Xenopus tropicalis: one gene and its partners. The protein of the gene in region 2 binds, or shares a complex with, the protein of the main gene of each other region. Links are inferred from orthologs where the notes say so. Each region holds a gene or a part of one and is shown on either strand. Other genes may lie near its edges.

Region 1 (4,162 bases), on a different chromosome or scaffold from region 2:
CCCCCATTTATAACTACAGACCTCACCTGCTGCCACAGCCCACTCACATCATAGGTAGGTCTAGTTTCCCTACACACTGCTCTAGAGTCAAATACCCCCACAGACATAAACCTACCACAGCTCATGTAATCTCACCACACACTGTACCTCCCCCACTAGCACATCTAAATACTTATGCCACCCATATTACTAACACAATCTCCCCTCAATATTCTGGGTAAAAAAAAAAAGCACAACCGAAATTTTAAGCAAATGTAGGGACCCATAGGGTTAAATGCCCTATGGAGTGATATCCCTACCTCTTCACATAGATCCCTTGTTACTGGAAGCCTTTGTAACAGTTTATAGTTATGCCTATACTTTATTGGCCCATATGGTTGTCCACACTCCTTGCAGCCTCATATAATGTCTAGCAAGGAGGTGTGGCTGCCTGTCTGCTTCCCAACAACAGCTCCATTGAGCCTGGGTGCAGACATAGGCCCCAGTAAGCCATATTCTTTGAAGTAAAGTCGGGGACAGGGCCCCGTGAACGAGGTAAAGTTAGTCTCAGGACTAGACTCTGTCATAGCACACTCTAGGGGGCTGATTTACTAATCCACGAATTCGAATGGGAAAAATTCGGATTGGAAACGAACATTTTGCGACTTTTTCGTATATTTTGCCTTCCACTTAGCGAAGGCCACCCCTTTGAAATAGAGTCCCAATGTGCCCCATGCTCTAACCATAGCCTGGCATTTAAAGTGCTTTTTAGCCAAAAAGGGGTTACATACACAAAACCTCCCCCAAAATTATCTAACATGCCAAAAACATAAGCACACTCCAAAACTCTTCCCCATAGTTTAAAATTGTGCAACACGTCAACCCAGCTGGAAAAAAAAAATCAATAACCACCCTTCAAAAAAATGCACACCCCCAAAACTCATCAGCACCCTTACCCCAAAAAATACAAGCACTCCACATATAAGCAGGCTCCAACAACCCCCTAAAATTAAGGGCACACACCTTACATAGAATAGATCCACAGCCTCCACTGAACATCAAGTGTCCCAGTATTCAGGCAACTGAATAAACTCCTACATTTAATTCTGTCCCAAGAAAAAAATAATGCTACCCAGCGCAACCCAATACTCAATAGCGCACTGTGACACTACTTTTAATGAGCCATTCTCTCCATAGCATCCCCGAGTAACCACCTATAATCTATTTACACAGGCATTTGAAGAAGGCGCTGAATGTTACGTGTTGGAGACGTCGCCACGTCTTCACGTGTTTGTGACGTCACTCACGGCCACAGGAACTAGATATATAAATGGCTTTTGGAAACCGTTTAAGACCGAGTCGGGACTGAGGGCTGAGTTAAGAGAAGCGGACCTGTCCAGCTAAAAGCGGGACTATTGGGCGGTATGTGAGCGGGGCCGACCTTTAAAATTAGTTGATAGTATATCCTTTTTCTGAAAAGGAGAACGTTTAGACTAAAGCGTAAGATGGTACAACTCGTTACTTTAAGACCAAAAACCTCCAAATAAGTTGTCTTGAATATGCCTTTGGATCAGCACGAACGTACATGCAGTCGTCATTTAGAGGCATTAATGCTTAACAATTTTAATTGGCTAGTTGTTAAAATTTGACCTACACGAATGCATTAATCCATAGAAATGCATATTATGGGTCTCTACTGAACTGGTAACAATACTTTCAAATACGCATTATGACTATTTTTTTAATTTTTTTTTTTTAAGCTGTAGTGCAAGAGGAAGTTCTCTAAATGAAGATTGAAGGGGTTCTCCTTTCAAAAACTTGTTTTGCTTATAGAAAGGTAATGCAATTCTAATTAACTGTCCAATATACTTTATTTACAAACTTTCAGTAGTTTTAAAGTGATTTGTTAATGTAATATCTAAAAAGCTTTATTTGTCTTGCTTACATTCTCTGCACTCCTGGCTTTGATTTTGGAGCAATAATACAAGGCAGCTGGATAAAAATACCTAGAGGAGACCTGACCCTGTAACATTGTTTTAAGAGTAAAGGTGGCCATACACGCACCAATAATATCGTACGAAACCTCGTTTCGTACGATATTCGGTGCGTGTATGGTATGTCGGCGAGTCGACCGATATCGCAGGAAGCTGCTGATATCGGCCGACTCGCCGATCGGACCAGTTTGAAAATTTTGATTGGGCGCCATAGAAGGCGCCTGACCAAAATCTCCCTTCAGCGCTGAATCAGCAGAAGGAGCAGAAGGAGGTAGAAATCCTATTGTTTCTACCTCCTTACCGATGGTTGCACGAAACATCGTCAGATTGCCACGTGTATGGCCAGCTTAAGACCCAGACAATAGAAAGGGATAGAGAATTACTGCTTTTATTTGCAATTCCATGTACAGGTAATATAGTGTAAGGTGCATAGATAGGGAAGAAACTTTGTGATGTTACATGTCTCTGTGTATTGAAATTGAATAAATGGGCTTAAAGGAAAAAGAAAGTCAAAGTCACTTGGGGGTGCCAAAATGTTAGGCACCCCCAAGTGACTTTGACCACCTACATTTTACCCCGGGCTGGTGCCCCTGTGAGGAGGGAACAGCACCAGCCCGGGGTAGCTGCCGGCGCTTGCCTCTGCCTGATTCGCTGCGCGTGCATGCGCAGTAGAGTGAAAAGCCGAACTTAAACTTTAAAGTCGGCTTTTCACTCTACTGCGCATTCGCCCACCGCTGGCATTCCAGAAACGGAAGCCGGAATAAGGAAACGATCCGCTCCAGGTGCCCCGGGCTGGTGCTATTTTCTCCTAACAGGGGCACCAGCCCGGGGTACGAGGTAAGCGGTTAAAGTCACTTGGGGTGCCTAACATTTTGGCACCCCCAAGTGATTTTACCTTTCGTTTCCCTTTAAATGAGAAGGAAAGGCTAATAGTTAATTTCAAGCTGCAGGCATACCTTCAGTTTTCTCAATAGTGCCTTTAAGTCCCCCCATATTTCTCCTGTTCAGATGATCAGAAACCTCATAGGAAAAAAAAAATCTAAGCTTTGAAAAGAAAGTTCCCATAATTCCTCACTCCTGGACCGAGACCATTGTACATGCTCAGTTTGTAAGACGATGAGGAAGTTTCCTACTGATTGGCTCAGATCACACATTTCTAAGAGGGGGGGGGGGAAGTGAGTTCTTAGCATTCTTGAGGGAGGGGGAGAGAGCTGCATGTCTCTGGCACAGGAAAACAAAGACAACAAATCCTGTTTCTTTTGAGAGAACTCAGTGCAGTGTTTTTATAGACCTTTCCCTTTCTGATAAATACTTTCAGCTTAAAGGAGACATATTGGAAACATTGAAAAAACCCCAATTTTGTAGGCAATTATGAATAATATATGGTGCTGATTTCACTTTTGGCTAAATTGAACACTGTCAAAAATGGCCCCTTTATTGGAGCTCCCTATAGATCATCTCAGGTCTCTGTCAGGACATGCCCACCTTTCATTTGAAATGATGTGATGTGCAGTGTCATTTTTTCATCTGACCAAGCTTCAACATGTTTTTTCTTTAGCAGTGGTGTCTTGCGCGTTGAGCCTGCAAAGAGGCCATGTTGGTTGAGTGCATTACTTATTGTTTTTTTTAAACAACTGTACAAGGTGTTTCTGAAGCTCTCCATGAGTGATCCTTGGCTCTTGGACAATTTTTCTGATTATTCTTTTGATTACTCTGTCAGAAATATTGGGAGGAACACCTGGTCGTGCCCTTTTAATGTGAAATGATGTTCTTTCCTCTTCCGGGTTATGGCCCCAACTGTGCTCACTGGAACATTCAGAAGCTTAGAAATACATCTATAACTAATGCCATCAGTATGTATTGCAACAATAAGGTTGCAAAGGTCTTGAGAGAGCTCTTTGCTATTACCCATCATGAGATGCTTCTTGTGTGATACCTTGGTAATGAGAAACCATTTATTAGGACTAAGCCAGCTGAAATTATTTTGCACTGATAGGGGGCAGGATTGCTTTCAAAATACTGACAAATGTCAGCAGGTTTCTTTGCTTTCCATGCCTCTTCTTCATGTGTTCAATACTTATTCCCTGTGTCATTCCACTTTATTACACATAACTTAATTTAAAGACTTATTTGTTTTGATTTCTTTGTATGTGTGGATTTCTTGGGTTGTTACCAATATCTGGTGTAAA
Region 2 (3,513 bases):
TCTGTAAAACAGATTATATGCAAAAACAATTCAATATAATGCAAATAAAAGTTTAACCCTTGAGGAGAACGGCACTTACTTGGACTGGTAAGGATTGAGACTTGCAATAGGCACTACCTTGGACTGAGAGCCCCCAGGTGTGTTTACAACACTTCCCCCCCCAAACAATTTAGATGCTCCTCTGTTCATTGATGGAGGAGGAGGAGCTGTGGGAAGAAAAAAAATCCATAGCAAACTCTTAGGGATGATTACAAAGTAAAACAGAGTACTTAAAGATGTAGAACTATTAGACACACATAACAAAAGTGCACTGGTCAACCCTCCAGTCAGAAACCGCATAAGCTTTTATGTCTCCATAATACATTGAAGTAAAAATAACTAAAGAGCCCACAAGGCCCAAGAGGAATCATGCAGATAAAATAAAGAGCTATCCAGGGGCCTAGCAGAGGAAGATTAGATAGCATACTCACATACACAGTAAGGCTGCCTGCAATGCAGATAATTATGGGGAATTCAGCTTAGAAAGGGCCACTGTATATCTCTGGATGTTTAACCACAAGGCTTCCACAGCCTTAGCATGTAGCCTTTACACTTAAGGGCTCTGGCACACGGGGAGATTAGTTGCCCGCGACAAAACTCCCTGTTCGCAGGCGACTAATCTCCCCGAGTTGCCTTACCCTGCCATCCCACCAGCGAAAATGTAAATCGCCGGTGGGATGGCACATGCAGCTGCGCGATTTTGCGCAAATCGCCTAGAAAGCCTCGCGAGGCAACTTCGGCGATATGCGCCGCCGCGTGTGCCATCCCACTGGCGATTTACATTTTCGCCGGTGGGATGGCAGGGTAAGGCAACTCGGGGAGATTAGTCGCCCGCGTACAGGGAGTTTTGTCGCGGGCGACTAATCTCCCCATGTGCCAGAGCCCTAAAGGGACAGTATATGCCACTTTTCAACATGAGCTGAATGAACAGGGCTTGTGCTGAACATGCTCTTTGCCTATTGTCTGGAATTAAGAATCTATAGTTGCTGTTATTTATGGTACTGAACAAGAAATATGAAGCCAGTTTCACTTTGGAATCATGAAGTGACAGCAAGTACTAAAGAACCTTAGAGGAGGTGATAAAACAGAAACCCCCTGATAATAAGCTGCTCAAAGACTGCTGCTTAAAGAAGGGAGGGGTTTTTTGTTAAAGGAAAGATTGGGAGCTTTAAGCGAATTGTCCTGTTTATAAAAGGTAATACAATGAAAATAGACCAAGTTTCAATATAAGTGCTTTATAATGGCAACATTTTTAAATAAAATGACATTTAAATTTATAAAGTGATCACTTTTAGCAAAGGATGTAAACATAGCACACAAACATAGCACTATATACAGAATAATCAAGGTAATTTCCATAGAGAATGACCATTTTTTAAGTTTGCCCCAAAGCTTCCATTTACAGGTGCAGCTAACATCCTGCAATACAAAACATGGCGGAATACTAAAGTTGGTTTGTAAGAATGGCCATTGATTATTAAGTAAAAATATTAAAGAACTAGGCCAGCCACAACCCTAGTTTTGGAGTTGCCCCCATTTGATGCGAGGCAAAGCCCTTCAACAATGAAGCTGTGTAGGGTGCCAAGTGATCACAGGCCAAATTCAGAAACTTTCCATTAAGATTATAGTAGTACTTTAAATGCATTGCCTACTTTAAATGCCTTTCACTGCTAGCCACATGGAAATCCTGAACAAAGAAGCAATCATTTAATGTATTTTTTTGTAGTAGGGCGGAACACATACAATTCTGCTAACAGATACGGACCTTGTTGCCATACAACAGCAGAACAATACTTTACAATACACTTTTACTACAAAAAAAATTTTCATGTGTATACAAGTTAACAGCAGAGTACAAAATCTGCAAATAACCCAAAATTGCATTCAACACTCTCCTCACTAATTCTTCCAGCCCCCCAGTACTGACTGAAATGATGTCTGGGTACTTTCCAAAGTAGAAATTGTACAGTTCATTTTACAGAATAAAGGAGAACATTTTTCACATTACATTTAGGCTTACCTGAAATGTTCTGTGGTTTGCTAGGCGGTGGGGCTGAAGCTGGAGCAGGTGCAGCAGGCTGTGGTGGTCCTTGCCCTGAAAAATATCAACTCTTTGTAAAACCATACCAGATGGCAGATGACAAACATTCCCTGTATAGTAAACACATTCTAAAAATGTACTTCCAGCACAAGCAATAATGACAAGTGAGTTGTAACGTAGAACAGGCAGTAAGAATGAATATAGGCTACAAGGTCCTTTATGAGAAGTCTCCTATCAAAAGTAGCATTCATTTATAGCAACATTAGACACTCTCACATTCAGGTTCAGTATATGACACCTGCAATAAATATTCAGTTCTCCAAATGAACACACTAGTACATGGAGGAGATGCTCCTAAGACTGGCTTGCAACATACAAAAATACAGACAGCACTATACTGCTGAATGGACCTAACCTGATGGCACGTTAAAAACAAGCAGCTCTCCTGTAGCCAAAGCACCATTTCCCACAATGCCTTGCACCCTAGTTAGCCTCACCCTCACGTCTGTTACCTACAGAACATGTACAGCATTGTAGGAATGGGAATCCTGGCGTAAAAGAGTCAACCGAAAAGCTTTTGTTGGTTTGAGTTCAGAGCAAGTAGCAAAAGCAAAGTAAGGAGCAAATTTCATTCAGTTGCTGTAACATTTGTAGATAACCAAGATCATTTGAAATATTTTAATTAATGCATACTGGAAAATTGCTTAGAATTACATTTTCTTTCATTATGCAAGACAAATTTGGGGGTGAACTTGACCTTTTAATATAGCCATTAAGTCTATATCTTCCCTATAAGTATAATATTTCAAACCTTGGCTATTCACTTATGATCTAAATTCTATACTTTAATAATAATAAAAATTTAGTCTTAATCATTATCGATTGTTGCCACATGAAAATGACTCAACAGTGAAGCCACCCTAAAATGTACGTCACATTCTATTTCAAAGGTAACAACTTAAAATGATACATTTCTGTAACACAAGGAAGCAGATGGCTTTGAATAACAGATGTAGCAATATGCAGACAGCACAGTCGCAGATGAGTTATCGTGGGGTTCAAAATCAATACATAATCACATTCGTTCAACTGCCAAGAACAGTAGCAGGAATACGGACCGGTAAACAAATAAAACTCACAGCACGAATCTGACAATTCTATCAAACGTGTAAATGAGGTTAATGGACCTAATAATTTTTCTGAACAGGTGGCAAATATCTTGAGTCACTAAAGGCTTGCAGGGTAGAGGCTCTATTGCTAAAGATTTTATGGTTTCAGGGTGGTGACACAAAGATAAATACTTTTCCTAAATCCGTAAAAGAAATTAAAAATTCTATTTGTGCTGAACCCAGAGTACTACTGTTAACTTGCAAGATATAACACATAACTGGATTTTAACCTTTACTGGAAACCTCCAACCAACATTATGAACA
Region 3 (4,188 bases), on a different chromosome or scaffold from region 2:
ACCCAATAATAACTGCACTGGCATTTTTGTGCCTATAGCATTGTATTTCTATTTATATATGAACACTACAATGTACAACATTATCTCCAAAAATACCAAAACCAGGATTTATGTAGCTAATAAAATAAACAGCCATTCAGCATTCAAGTGGTATGGTTGCCAATATGTAATGGAACAGAGGTACTATCCCCAAGCCACATATAAGAGGTGCAGAGCTTCTATATTACAGCATCACGTTCGCTAGCAAATGTATAGTTAGTGTTTCTTTAAAGGCGTAGTTCACCATTAATTTAATGTTTTGTGAATTAAAGAATGCCATGTTATTAGCAATTTTTCAGTTGGTCTACATTTTTTATTGTTTTTATTTGCCTTATTTTGGCAATTTTATTATCGCTGTTATTTTAAATTGGAGAGCTGCTGAAAAAAAAGTTAAAATATTTAAAATCCACAAAATAAAAGATTTAAGACTAATTGCAAATTGTCTAAGTATATCACTGGCTACATCCTAATAAATGTTAACTGAAAGGTAAACTAACTAAAACAAAGCAGATCAGTGAGGTTTTATTACTACTTATTTATTTAGGGATTAGTTTTTTCCAGGTACGTCATTTAGGCCACTGGCTGCCAGGTTAAATGGGACCTAGCCATCAGGTAACATTAAATTCCCAATATGTGTGTGAAACAGCTAATTGTAAACCTCGGTGAGAGCAGATTTTTAACAAAGCAGGTTTTCAGAAAACTGCGAGCACCACTTATCTGTCACTTTAATTCCATTAAGAAAATTGCATAATATGGCGGTTAGAAGTTTCTAAAACATGCTCGAGAAAACCTAGTAACAGTGCTACCTGTAGCAAAAACAGGAATCAGCGACACAGTTGCATACATATGACCAGTTTGGCCTGAAAATTTGATCGAATTTAACCTTAATGCCCAACTGTATGGGTGTATTTGTTACTATTGGATTGCAGAAAGTCTGCTCAGACAGTGTATGAAATCTGCCTATGCACAAAACATTACCAATATGCCTACGCAGCAAACATTACCGATTTTAAACGCTGTCGGCGAATATGGATCCCAAAAGATTTCATGTTGTTGATCAATGTCATTGGAGGGAGAATTGAAAGCTGGAGAGGAGTGTTTGCTTCTAGACAACCTTTTTGGAGTTTTCTTGTACGAAGTTGATTCTACGGGAACGGTTAAAGAGAAACAAACACTATTAAGCGATGCACTCATCACACTAGAAACACAATGGGCTGTATATGAATGAATCAAAAACTGACAGAACTCAGTATTATATCTTTATATTGCATTACAAATACAGTACATGTTCTGTAGTACCCTTAAAGGAGAAGGAAAGGCTAAGTCACTTGGGGGTGCCAAAATGTTAGGCACCCCCAAGTGACTTAGATCGCTTACATTTTACCCCGGGCTGGTGCCCCTGTACGGAGAGAACAGCACCAGCCCGGGGTAGCAGCGAGCGCTTCCTCCTTCCTGTAGCGCCGCGCGCGCATGCGCAGTAGAGTGAAAAGCCAAACTTAAACAAGAAAGTCGGCTTTTCACTCTACTGCGCATGCGCCGGCCCACGGATTTCGCCGGCAGAAGAGAGAGGAAGAGGAAACACTCCCTGCAGGTACCCCGGGCTGGTGCTGTTTTCTCCTAACAGGGGCACCAGCCCAGGATACAAGGTAAGCGATTAAAGTCACTTGGGGGTGCCTAACATTTGGCACCCCCAAGTGACTTAGGCTTTCCTTCTCCTTTCATTAAAGGAGACATATCCTATAAAAATAATGAATGTACCAATGAATTATACTCCTCTAGATATAGAAGGATTGTGCTTAAAAAAGTTGTGTTTCTGACTGATTTATTGAGAAATTCGCCCAAAACCCCACTAGCCCCGCCCATCTGTTCCACTTCCTGCTGGCTAAATTCTCTGGATGAGCTGGGGAGCCGGCGGCCCTCCGTACCCTGCACTGTAGGATAGGAACCAATCAGCAGCTAGGCTGACCTGATAGGGAACTGAAGCCTGTCTTTGCTTGTGTGACTGCAGGGCTGTGATTGGCTCTCCCCCTCTTACTGTGCTTCTGGCAGGGACCGTTAGGACACGCCCACCCTTCATTTGAAACACAGATATGGACCTGAGTGGATCTATAGGGAGCTCCAATAATGTTTAGCCCAAAGTGAAACCAACACCATATATTATTCATAACTGCCTACAGGGTTAGGGTTTTCCCATTTATCCAAGTAAAGTAAAAGTTCCTATAATGTATATGAGACTTAGACCAAGGGAAGAAGTACAGAAGAACCAAGGAGATGGCAGGACTCTTATTATGCACGTCTGCAGGTCAGGCTGTCAGTAGTAGGGTAGGCCTGTCCTGCACAGAGGCAACTCCAGAGGACGGCCATAGGGACTGTTCCTCTAGGTACAAATCTCTCCCTCCCCAGAAGCTCTCCTGGGGTTCAGGGTCCCCCTGGCTTGCGGCTAAGGGATGGATGGGGGCAGGGCACAGCGATACCAACACTGGCAGCAGTGAAACGCTCTTCTCTAACTAAATAAGCGATTTTTTCTTTAAAACTAACAGAGCAGCTTTACCCTCCGCACATAAACCCGCAGCAGATTTACAATCTTCCAGGCACCGGAAGTAGAGTCTTTCAACCCATTTACAATAGAGAGCGAACCGCTGCAGAGAAATGCCTACCCCCGGAAAGTGCCGCTTCCTGCGGGGCAGTCCCAACTTTCCTTACACAGCCCGCAGCCCCGCACCGCTGCTTAAACATCCCGCTACTCCGGTAACATCCAGCTCAGCAGCTCCTGCCTGGCACCGAGTACTGACGTCACAAGTCTCATCTCGCGAGAGTGCGGCGCACGAATACGTCTATAAGCGCGGTGACGCGGTACGTACAGCTTTGTTAGGGAATGAGGGCAATCCTCTGTATGTGTTATGTAATGACAAGCCGGTAGTTTGCTGTGTGTATGGCAGGCTGTGGCTACTTTCTATGTATTTTGGGTTTTTTTTCCCAATAATATGCCCACTGACTCAGCTACAAATATATGACTTAAACTTAGCACTTTATGTTTTCTCAATAGAACAAATAACCTACATTTTTTCTTTGCCAGGTGGGTACTGGCTATAACTCAATGGCTTCCACTGGAGTCTTTGCCTCACTAAAGGGCAATACACATTATAGGGCTGATTTACTAAGACACGAATTTGAATCCGAATGGGAAAAATTCCGATTGTAAAACGAACGTTTTGCGAGTTTTTCGTACTTTTTGCGATTTTTTCGTAAATTGTCGCGACTTTTTCGTAGCCGTTACGACTTGCACGAATAGTCGCCACTTTTTCGTAGCCGTTACGATATGCTCGTATCTTGTCGCAACTTTTTCGTATTGAGCGCTCGTAACCTGCGGGCAAAACTTTCAGACTTAGCATGATTTTGGAAGCCTCCCATAGAGCTCAATGACACTCTGCAGCTCCAACCCGGCCCAAGGAAAGTCTCCCATAGGGCTCAATGGCACTCTGCAGCTCCAACCTGGCCCAAGGAAAGTCTCCCATAGGGCTCAATGGCACTCTGCAGCTCCAACCCGGCCCAAGGAAAGTCACCCATAGGGCTCAATGGCACTCTGTAGCTCCAACCTGGCCCAAGGAAAGTCACCCATAGGGCTCAATGGCACTCTGCAGCTCCAACCTGGCCCAAGGAAAGTCTCCCATAGGGCTCAATGGCACTCTGTAGCTCCAACCTGGCCCAAGGAAAGTCTCCCATAGGGCTCAATGGCACTCTGCAGCTCCAACCCGGCCCAAGGAAAGTCTCCCATAGGGCTCAATGGCACTCTGCAGCTCCAACCTGGCCCAAGGAAAGTCTCCCATAGGGCTCAATGGCACTCTGCAGCTCCAACCCGGCCCAAGGAAAGTCACCCATAGGGCTCAATGGCACTCTGTAGCTCCAACCTGGCCCAAGGAAAGTCACCCATAGGGCTCAATGGCACTCTGCAGCTCCAACCTGGCCCAAGGAAAGTCTCCCATAGGGCTCAATGGCACTCTGCAGCTCCAACCTGGCCCAAGGAAAGTCTCCCATAGAGCTCAATGGCACTCTGCAGCTCCAACCTGGCCCAAGGAAAGTCTCCCATAGAGCTCAATGGCACTCTGCAGCTCCAACCTGGCCCAAGGAAAGTCTCCCATAGAGCTCAAT
Region 4 (3,513 bases), on a different chromosome or scaffold from region 2:
AGCACAGGCTCCCTCAGGTACCACCCCGGATGTTCTCAAGCCATAAGTCTCCTGGAGACTGTTGTCCAACCTCCTGTTTGCGAGGACATTCAAAAAACTGAAGTGCCTGGGATTGGGAAGGGGGTTATAGGGGTGGGAGGGTTACATTTCTGGCTCCTGATGGGAGGGGATTTAACCCCATGGTTTCTGGGTCCCCAAAAAATAGAAAAAATAAAACTGTTTGCTGATGCCGCTACGTAGTATATACCAGTGGTTCTCCAATCGTGAGGCTGGCCCCCATTCCTGGGCTTAAAATGAATTAGGTAGACTGGATATTAAAAGCAAAATGATGCAGCTTTCCCTAAAATTACCATAAAACCACCATTACTTGTAGTATGGCATGATTACAGCAATGTTTCAGACCAGGGCCGGAACTAGGTGTAGGCAGAAGAGGTGGGGTACTAGACACATGCCTTTCCTCCCCCCACCCCCCCCCCCCCCAGTGCCCACTGGTACGTTCACATTCACGCATGTGCATGAGGGGGAGAAGGGGAGCTGGCCACGTTGCCCAAATTGAGAGAGGATTAATAAAGTCAGCTTGAAAAAGTACTTATGTAGTGTGAAACATTGCTATGATCGTGCCATACTACAAGTAAACTCCCTACATTAGTATTTTAATTCTTGATTCCAGTGTGACAGTCACTGATCAGCACAGGCAAAACTTGGAAAGTATATGGCCGGGCCTCACATGGAGGCCATCAACAATGTTGTGCTACTCTGCAAACTGTTATTTTGCGGAAAGTAGGAGATGCAGTCGGGAAAGGGGCTAGTGATCCATGACCACACGCACATTTATAATATATTTATACATAAAATGGCAAATACGCTTTATAAAACTCCTCATGAGACAGCATTATTTATTTATTTTTTCTTCTTGATCTAACAATTTTTTTTTGTTTTTGGAGCAGCTGGGAGACCTTTTAAAAGACTGGAGAAGGCTAAATGTGGCGCTGACACGGGCCAAACACAAGCTGATCATGTTGGGCTGCGTTCCAACCCTTAGCCGCTTTCTTTGCCTGGAGCAGCTGATATGTCATCTAAAATCTAAAAATCTAATATCCTTTTTAATTTAACTATGCAACCTGTGGTCTGGCCCTTCACCCAGTGTGGTGCTGCCTTGCATTTTAGGCCTTATAGCATGAAGGATAGCTGAACATCTTCATCAAAACCGAATTTAGCTCAGTTAGTCTCAAGGAGAGTGTTTTGACTGAGCTAGGTTCCAAACATAGTGGGGCCCTGCAGAGCTGTATTTGTGAATAGGAAGAGCAAGCTAGGGCAAGATGGCAACAGTTAGAGGCTTATTTAAAAGCAATCTCATTTTAGTGGTTTTAAGTATTTTTAAAACTACGAATAAGCTCATTTTCTCTAAAACCACAAATTCGAAGTTATTTATTCAAACAGCCTTTTGAAAAAACATTCAAAACAAGCGGATTAGCAAGATAAGAACAAACAGATTAGCCAACTTAAAATGGACAGCTGCCATTAATTTCTGTGCAACCTCAACAGCTTTTAGATGGAGTATTTTTACTTTCAGATTTGTTGCAGTTTTGACGCATAATAAATGCCGAGTCAGCTTCCTGCTGATTGGCTCAGATCACACATTCCTTATCGGGAGGAGTGAGTTCTTAGCATTCTTGAGGGAGAGGAGAGAGCTGTGTGTCTCTGGCACAGGAAAACCAAAGAATTCTGTTTCTTTTGACAGGGAAGTCAGTGCAGCGTTTCTGTGAGTGTTTATGGCTGTATTTACATAGACCTTTCTGATAAAGCTTAGTTTTTACCTTTCCTTTTCCTATAAGTGTTTATTTGTTGCCCCTGGCCCTGACAGCCTTCGTACCTACTGTATTAAGTGTTCTCTTGTTCTGTAATTTTTCCTTGACACTAGCACATTTATGATCTTCCAGCCGGCGCCCATGAGCATATGCCTGTATGAAGAGGCCTTTTCTGATGCTGTTAAGAAGCCATTTGTGCTCTCACAGGTGCCTTGTTAGCACTTGGAACGGAGGATGTTCTGGGCACACAATTCTTTTCATTGAACTCATGTTGAACAATTAGGGGAACTTATGTTGAACAATGTAGCAATTGGGGAAATGATGGCTTATTATACAGAGATCATTATTTAAATCTACAGTAGTCAAAGGGGGAGAGTAAGGGCAATGGCACGCAATGAGATATGTTGCTCCAGGAAAGTTTGCCCTACCCGCGGGTAACAGATCACCTAAAAATGCCTTACCATTCTCACCTTCAGATCTCTGCATGTAAAGCACATTACCCAATCACAATTTAATTGCAGAGAAATGTGGAAGTAAGCATATTCCAGCAATTAACTGGATTGCCACATGTAATCTGTTTTTTAAATGAAGCAATCTGAAGGTTAGTGAATTGCAAGGCATTTTGTAAGAGATTTGTTGCCTGGAGTAGCGCAGGTTTTTCCATGGGTAACAAATCTCCTTGTGTGCCATAGCCCTAAGAGTAATGAGAAAAATATCAATTAGCACTTTGAAGTAAAAGCAGTTTTGTTATTTCAGTTTCTCGTGTTAAATGAGTTCTATTGCCCCTTAATAATTTGCAGGTAGAAGAATTTATATATCAGAAGCTGACTTTGGGAAAGATTTAACAAACTGTATGATTAGAGCTCATTCACCCACTCTATTAATTCCACTGGGATTTTTTTGAAGCATATTTATCAGTGGGTGAAAGTTAGAGTTCACCATTTTATAAATACTCTTTTAAAAACCGATTAGAAATGAATAGAGAGTGGGCACATTTTTCTGTGGTGAGCTCTAATCTCACATTTTGGTAAATCTGCCCCTTAAAGTAGGCTGTGCCTCAGTCCTAAATTTTTTTAGTTTTTTTCTGTAATTGATTTGCATTTACTGTTTAACAAATTAAGGCTTTGCTTTCAGACACAAACCATTTAACCGTAGTTTGTTATATTGCTAGCATTGCTAAACCAGTCTAAATAAGCTTTAATATAGCAGCTCCATATCTGTATAAACACTAGATGGTGCTGTTTTGTTAGCTGTTTAGGCTAATGGCACATGAAGCAGTTTCGGGAATTTTTACCCACCACCCAAAACACAAGAAATCCAAATTACCATGGTGATGGCAGGTGATCAACCTAAAAGATGCAATTCATGAGTACATGGGGCACATTCTCATAATGACCATGTAGAATAAATGTAACTGTTTTACTTTCTTTGAAGAGAGCCCCTGTTAGAGTGGCTGTTTATTGTCATTTGTTTCCTTAGACTGGAACTGAATTGAATAGTAACAGTACAACTACAACTCTATTTTTACATTTCTAACCTATCCGTACCCCCCTTTGGTTACATATGTATCACTTGCTATCTAACTGATAGTGTTTATATGCCATGTTTTGAGCATGTGAGAAGTTTCAGCTGAGGCAAGCATCTGGTGCCTATTATTATATGCAGAGATAAAAGCCCTAGTACCCATAATATTGAGTTTATTACT
Region 5 (3,959 bases), on a different chromosome or scaffold from region 2:
CCTCGTCCTTTGGGTCCCTAACTGAGTGAGGTACTGCCGGGACACAGGTCTCTCTCATCTCGTTGGAGCCTCCAACAAATATAACCTACCACTATCTACCTAACTAGCTCTGCCAGTTACCTCTCTGAGATGGCCTAACTCAGGCTCCCTGGTATCACATATTATCCTCTTCTCATCAGGTAAAGAGAAAGTGTTATACTGGCTTTCCCCTTTTATAGCTTCCCCTGCCTGAGAGAGCCACCAGCCAGTGGGGGCACTGGAGGGGGTGTGCGGTGGGGGTAAAGGGCACAGAAATAGGGGTAAGTGAAAAAAGAGGGACCTGCCTGGTGCCCACCTACTGTTGCGCCCTAGGCAGGTGCCTAGTGAAAAAGTGCAATTGAGAGGCCTGTCCTTGCAAAAGCCCTTGTCCTAATACACTCATCCTGTGCTCCTCTTACAGCATGCTATAAGAATATTTCAATAGATACAATGGAGAGAGTCAGAAACGGAACTTTGCTCTGGTTTCCATTGTAAAGTATATGTCTTATATTAATTATTTGTGGAGGCACAAGGCAGCCCTGTCCTTAGCTATACCACTACAGGGATTCTTTGATCTCACTGGTACTCCCAAACTTGCACATCTGAATGACAGGGAATGGGATAAGTTCTGCCTATGTGCTTCCTTCCACTTGATCCTCATAATGGGAGTTGCAGTACAGAAGTGTCTGGAAGGTTACACAATTCTGATATTCCCGTATTATTAACCTTGTACTCCAAATACTGAACTCATATTGTGTTTATGAAATGCTTAGGCTACAATATGTCATAAAATGGGGAGGGGCCACCCTTTCTGGTTCTGAATTTCCAGCAATGTAAAATAGAATTTTTAATTACTAAATTTAGTATGTGTGTATGTGTGCGGTCAACAAGTTAGTGTAGTTAAAGGATCAGTAACACAAAAAAAAACATTTTTACGCATGCACGTAAGTACAGAAGAACCAATGTTCATTATAATGTGTCGCGATAGAGCCGGAGCCATTATTTTTATCCTGTTCTTCAGTTCAGAAATCAGCTTTAACACTTAGCATACATAGTTACAGTTAGGATGCTGCGAATTACCATTCAGAGCAAGCAGGGCAGAACTAGCCGGACCTGCTTCCCCTTACTTCCGCCCTTACAGTGATGTCATTTCTCGGGAAAATAAGGCGGATCTTTGTGAAACTCAAAAATGAGCGCAAAGCTTCACCCGTCCCGCTCGCTGAGTGCCCGGGGGCGCAGAGGGGATGGCTGCACGGTGCTACAGGGCCGTCTGCTGCCAGTGAAAGATGGGGAAGTGGCGCACAAACGGGAGGAGAGCGATCCCGATGACAGCGATGGGGATGATCCCCAGTTCATGGATGCCAGAGAGATAGAAGGAGGGGGCATGGTGGTACAATCTACCCCGCTGCGCAGAACTGTGGGTGGGTATATTTTACTGCTTGGGCTCACTGTTAAAGGAGACATAGCCTATAAAAATTATGAATGTACCAGTGACTTATACTCCTCTAGATATAGAAGGATTGTGCTTAAAAAAGTTGTATTTCACACTTCCTGCTGGCTGAATTCTCTGGATGTGCAGGGGAGCCTCTCAGCACACTGCACTGTACCATAGGAACCAATCAGCAGCTAGGCTGACCTGATAGGGAACTGAAGCCCGCTGTGCTTGTGACTGCAGGGCTGTGATTGGCTCTCCCTCTCCTGCTGTGCTTCTGGTAGGGATTTTAGGACACGCCCACCCTTTATTTCATACATTGTCAGAGAACTGATAGGATCTGTAGGGAGCTCCAATAAAGGAGTCATTTTTACAGATAGGATTAATTTGAGCACCATATATTATTCATAATTGCCTTCAAAATTTCACATTTATCCAATATGTCTCCTTAAAGATGACAACCTTCACTCCTGTCGCTAATAATGATGGCTGGGATCTGAGAACTAATACTGGGGCATAAAGCCCACAGTAATCATATCCCTTTGGCACCTGGCCAGTTAAAATGTTAAAAGTAACTAATAGCGTATGACGATAATAGGCTTTGGAATATTGATTCTGCTGTTACATTCGTTGAAGTGTGTAGTCAGAACCAAATTGCAAAGTTATAACCTAGACATGTAATGTCGTTTGGCATATTATGGTCTGGTTTAGCACAACTCACCTATGGCACTTTGTCACATGGTATCTCTGTTCCAGAATGTTTGGGATATGGGGATTTCTGGATAAGTGGCCTTTCCATCATTTTGATCTTTATGCTTCTACATAAGTCTGCTAAAAATTCATTTGAGTTAATGCCACTACAACGTCAAGCACTTATGTTTCAACATTTTGCTAAGTATTGATAAGTTATAGAACTGCACTTATTCAGATGGTTCTTGCTAAGCGTGTAAATGCTATGCCAAACTCGCCATGAGGCTCATTGCAGATTGAGTGTATTTTCTCTATATACAGTTTGCAGACCGTATATTGGTATCTATTCCTGTGCCACAGCATAGTTATATCAGCCTTATGAATAGTATGTGCAGGACTGCAGTCACTGGTCCCTATCAAGATGGCCTAGGGGAGTACAGTTGTGCCCGTACTTATGTGTTTACCTTGTGGAGCGTTCAGATTTTAATGCATGTTAGTTTTTTTGATTACGTATTTTTTTTTCTTTTTAAATAGTGATTATTAAAGATAAATATGGACCTGAATATCGAGTGAGTGGATTTTTTCCATTGGTAGATCCTTGGTGGTCTGTAAAACTAAAAGTGAAACGTGATGGGACGCAGTACTTTGCACAAGGATATCCTTCATACGCTCTTGAGAATGACATGAGCAAGGATATACTTTCTCTTTTCCTCCATGCCTGTAAAGTTCATGATGATACAAAACAAACATTTATCAACTGGTTACCAAGTGATGCAACATTGACTTTTGACAACCTGAAAAAACTCATAGAAGAATTTCAGATGAACAATTCAAGTAATAAAATAAATATTGAAAGTTCAGGTAAAAAAAAAAAAAATTATTTTCAGAATAATGTGACTGTTGCTGTTCTCCAGACTGTATTTTTGATGCTGTAGATAACATGTTATAAGGTCTGGGGTGGGGATGCAGAACAATGGTTCAATTGACAGAATTTGGAAGGATCTATCAATTGAACCATTGTAATCAGGAAAACAATATCTATATGTTGATTAAGTAATCCTGGAGTTTGGTCACTCTTTAGTACTTATACTATACTTAAACGTATTAATTGTATGTACAAGGAACACCAATTCTATATGTAACATGGGCAACTTTTAAAGGAAATTACTGTAATAGACTTCACAAAACATAGACATTATTTAACAGAATCAGTTACAATTTTAGGCTGCTGCCACACAGATGTTTTCTCTGCCTGCATATAAGCACAGGCCAAGAAACTGCACTTTTGCTCAAATCTGCCTTATGTTGCGTTTGCAACCAGAGGCACTGCTTCATTCTGGGGGAAGACACAGTAAATTTAAGTAAGAAAATGCACACTCAAGCATTTTGGTGCTGAAGTCTGCTCCGTGTGTCTGCACCCAGGTTGATGCATAAAGCAGATCAGAGCAGAAGGTGGTTTCATGTCCTGTGTTTATTTTTTGGGAACAGTTTCCTGTTGGCAAATGTTTGTGGATAAAATAGATTATTTTGTCCTTTACATATAGTATTACTGATGTGGGTATTTCATTATTATCTGTAAATTCCAATTGCTTCCAGACCTGAACAGTGATAAAGGGTCCCTCCCTTTTGGGCAGAAGAGGGAGTTAGAATTGTAAAAAGTCTCCATATCGTATCCATCCTGGTGTTATAACAAAACTGCCAATACAAGTATGGATAATTAGACAGCAACACAATGAGACATTAACATTGGTCAGAGAAAAGGTAGAGAACAGACTGAATGATGTTATCCAAATTCTTCTGTTTGGTATCTGCTGTTACT

Evidence for each region.
Region 1: the proteins of rpa1 (region 2) and rad9a are in contact, whole or in part, in a crystal structure (PDB 8JZY), measured with the Homo sapiens proteins. The link is inferred for Xenopus tropicalis from reciprocal best matches to the Homo sapiens genes RPA1 and RAD9A. Residues at the interface, in NP_002936.1 of Homo sapiens: Asn29, Arg31, Ile33, Arg41, Arg43, Leu44, Leu45, Ser54, Ser55, Phe56, Met57, Asn85, Leu87, Lys88, Asp89, Arg91, Val93; in NP_004575.1 of Homo sapiens: Asp297, Phe298, Ala299, Asn300, Asp301, Asp302, Ile303, Asp304, Tyr306, Met307, Ile308, Met310.
Region 3: the proteins of rpa1 (region 2) and etaa1 are in contact, whole or in part, in a crystal structure (PDB 8JZV), measured with the Homo sapiens proteins. The link is inferred for Xenopus tropicalis from reciprocal best matches to the Homo sapiens genes RPA1 and ETAA1. Residues at the interface, in NP_002936.1 of Homo sapiens: Arg31, Ile33, Thr34, Pro39, Arg41, Arg43, Ser54, Ser55, Met57, Asn85, Leu87, Arg91, Arg92, Val93, Ile95; in NP_061875.2 of Homo sapiens: Thr599, Trp600, Glu601, Ala602, Asp606, Asp607, Leu609, Leu610, Tyr611, Ala613, Cys614, Asp615.
Region 4: the proteins of rpa1 (region 2) and dna2 are in contact, whole or in part, in a crystal structure (PDB 5EAY), measured with the Homo sapiens proteins. The link is inferred for Xenopus tropicalis from reciprocal best matches to the Homo sapiens genes RPA1 and DNA2. Residues at the interface, in NP_002936.1 of Homo sapiens: Asn29, Ile30, Arg31, Ile33, Arg41, Arg43, Leu44, Leu45, Ser54, Ser55, Met57, Asn85, Leu87, Lys88, Arg91, Val93, Ile95; in NP_001073918.2 of Homo sapiens: Glu6, Leu7, Glu8, Leu10, Met11, Lys13, Ser14, Phe15, Trp16.
Region 5: the proteins of rpa1 (region 2) and helb are in contact, whole or in part, in a crystal structure (PDB 7XV1), measured with the Homo sapiens proteins. The link is inferred for Xenopus tropicalis from reciprocal best matches to the Homo sapiens genes RPA1 and HELB. Residues at the interface, in NP_002936.1 of Homo sapiens: Asn29, Ile30, Arg31, Ile33, Arg41, Arg43, Leu44, Leu45, Ser54, Ser55, Met57, Ala59, Thr60, Gln61, Arg81, Ile83, Asn85, Leu87, Arg91, Val93, Ile95, Met97, Glu120; in NP_001357214.1 of Homo sapiens: Glu496, Glu499, Val500, Lys502, Ala503, Cys504, Asp506, Phe507, Glu508, Asp510, Asn512, Ala513, Glu516, Trp517, Thr519.

What each region holds. Positions count from the first base shown.
Region 1 is NC_030683.2:57,498,394-57,502,555, forward strand, and holds the start of rad9a (cell cycle checkpoint control protein RAD9A), read left to right. Parts: upstream 1-1,360; 5' UTR 1,361-1,401; intron 1,402-1,739; 5' UTR 1,740-1,816; intron 1,817-4,162. UniProt on the Homo sapiens protein: Component of the 9-1-1 cell-cycle checkpoint response complex that plays a major role in DNA repair. The 9-1-1 complex is recruited to DNA lesion upon damage by the RAD17-replication factor C (RFC) clamp loader complex.
Region 2 is NC_030678.2:36,031,580-36,035,092, forward strand, and holds part of rpa1 (replication protein A 70 kDa DNA-binding subunit), read right to left. Parts: intron 2,135-3,513; coding exon 2,060-2,134; intron 207-2,059; coding exon 80-206; intron 1-79. UniProt on the Homo sapiens protein: As part of the heterotrimeric replication protein A complex (RPA/RP-A), binds and stabilizes single-stranded DNA intermediates that form during DNA replication or upon DNA stress.
Region 3 is NC_030681.2:30,919,086-30,923,273, forward strand, and holds the start of etaa1 (ewing's tumor-associated antigen 1), read right to left. Parts: upstream 2,809-4,188; 5' UTR 2,776-2,808; coding exon 2,697-2,775; intron 1,185-2,696; coding exon 1,044-1,184; intron 1-1,043. UniProt on the Homo sapiens protein: Replication stress response protein that accumulates at DNA damage sites and promotes replication fork progression and integrity.
Region 4 is NC_030683.2:40,341,786-40,345,298, forward strand, and holds part of dna2 (DNA replication ATP-dependent helicase/nuclease DNA2), read left to right. Parts: intron 1-947; coding exon 948-1,094; intron 1,095-1,924; coding exon 1,925-1,969; 3' UTR 1,970-3,513. UniProt on the Homo sapiens protein: Key enzyme involved in DNA replication and DNA repair in nucleus and mitochondrion.
Region 5 is NC_030679.2:58,060,705-58,064,663, forward strand, and holds the start of helb (DNA helicase B), read left to right. Parts: upstream 1-1,149; 5' UTR 1,150-1,207; coding exon 1,208-1,439; intron 1,440-2,674; coding exon 2,675-3,001; intron 3,002-3,959.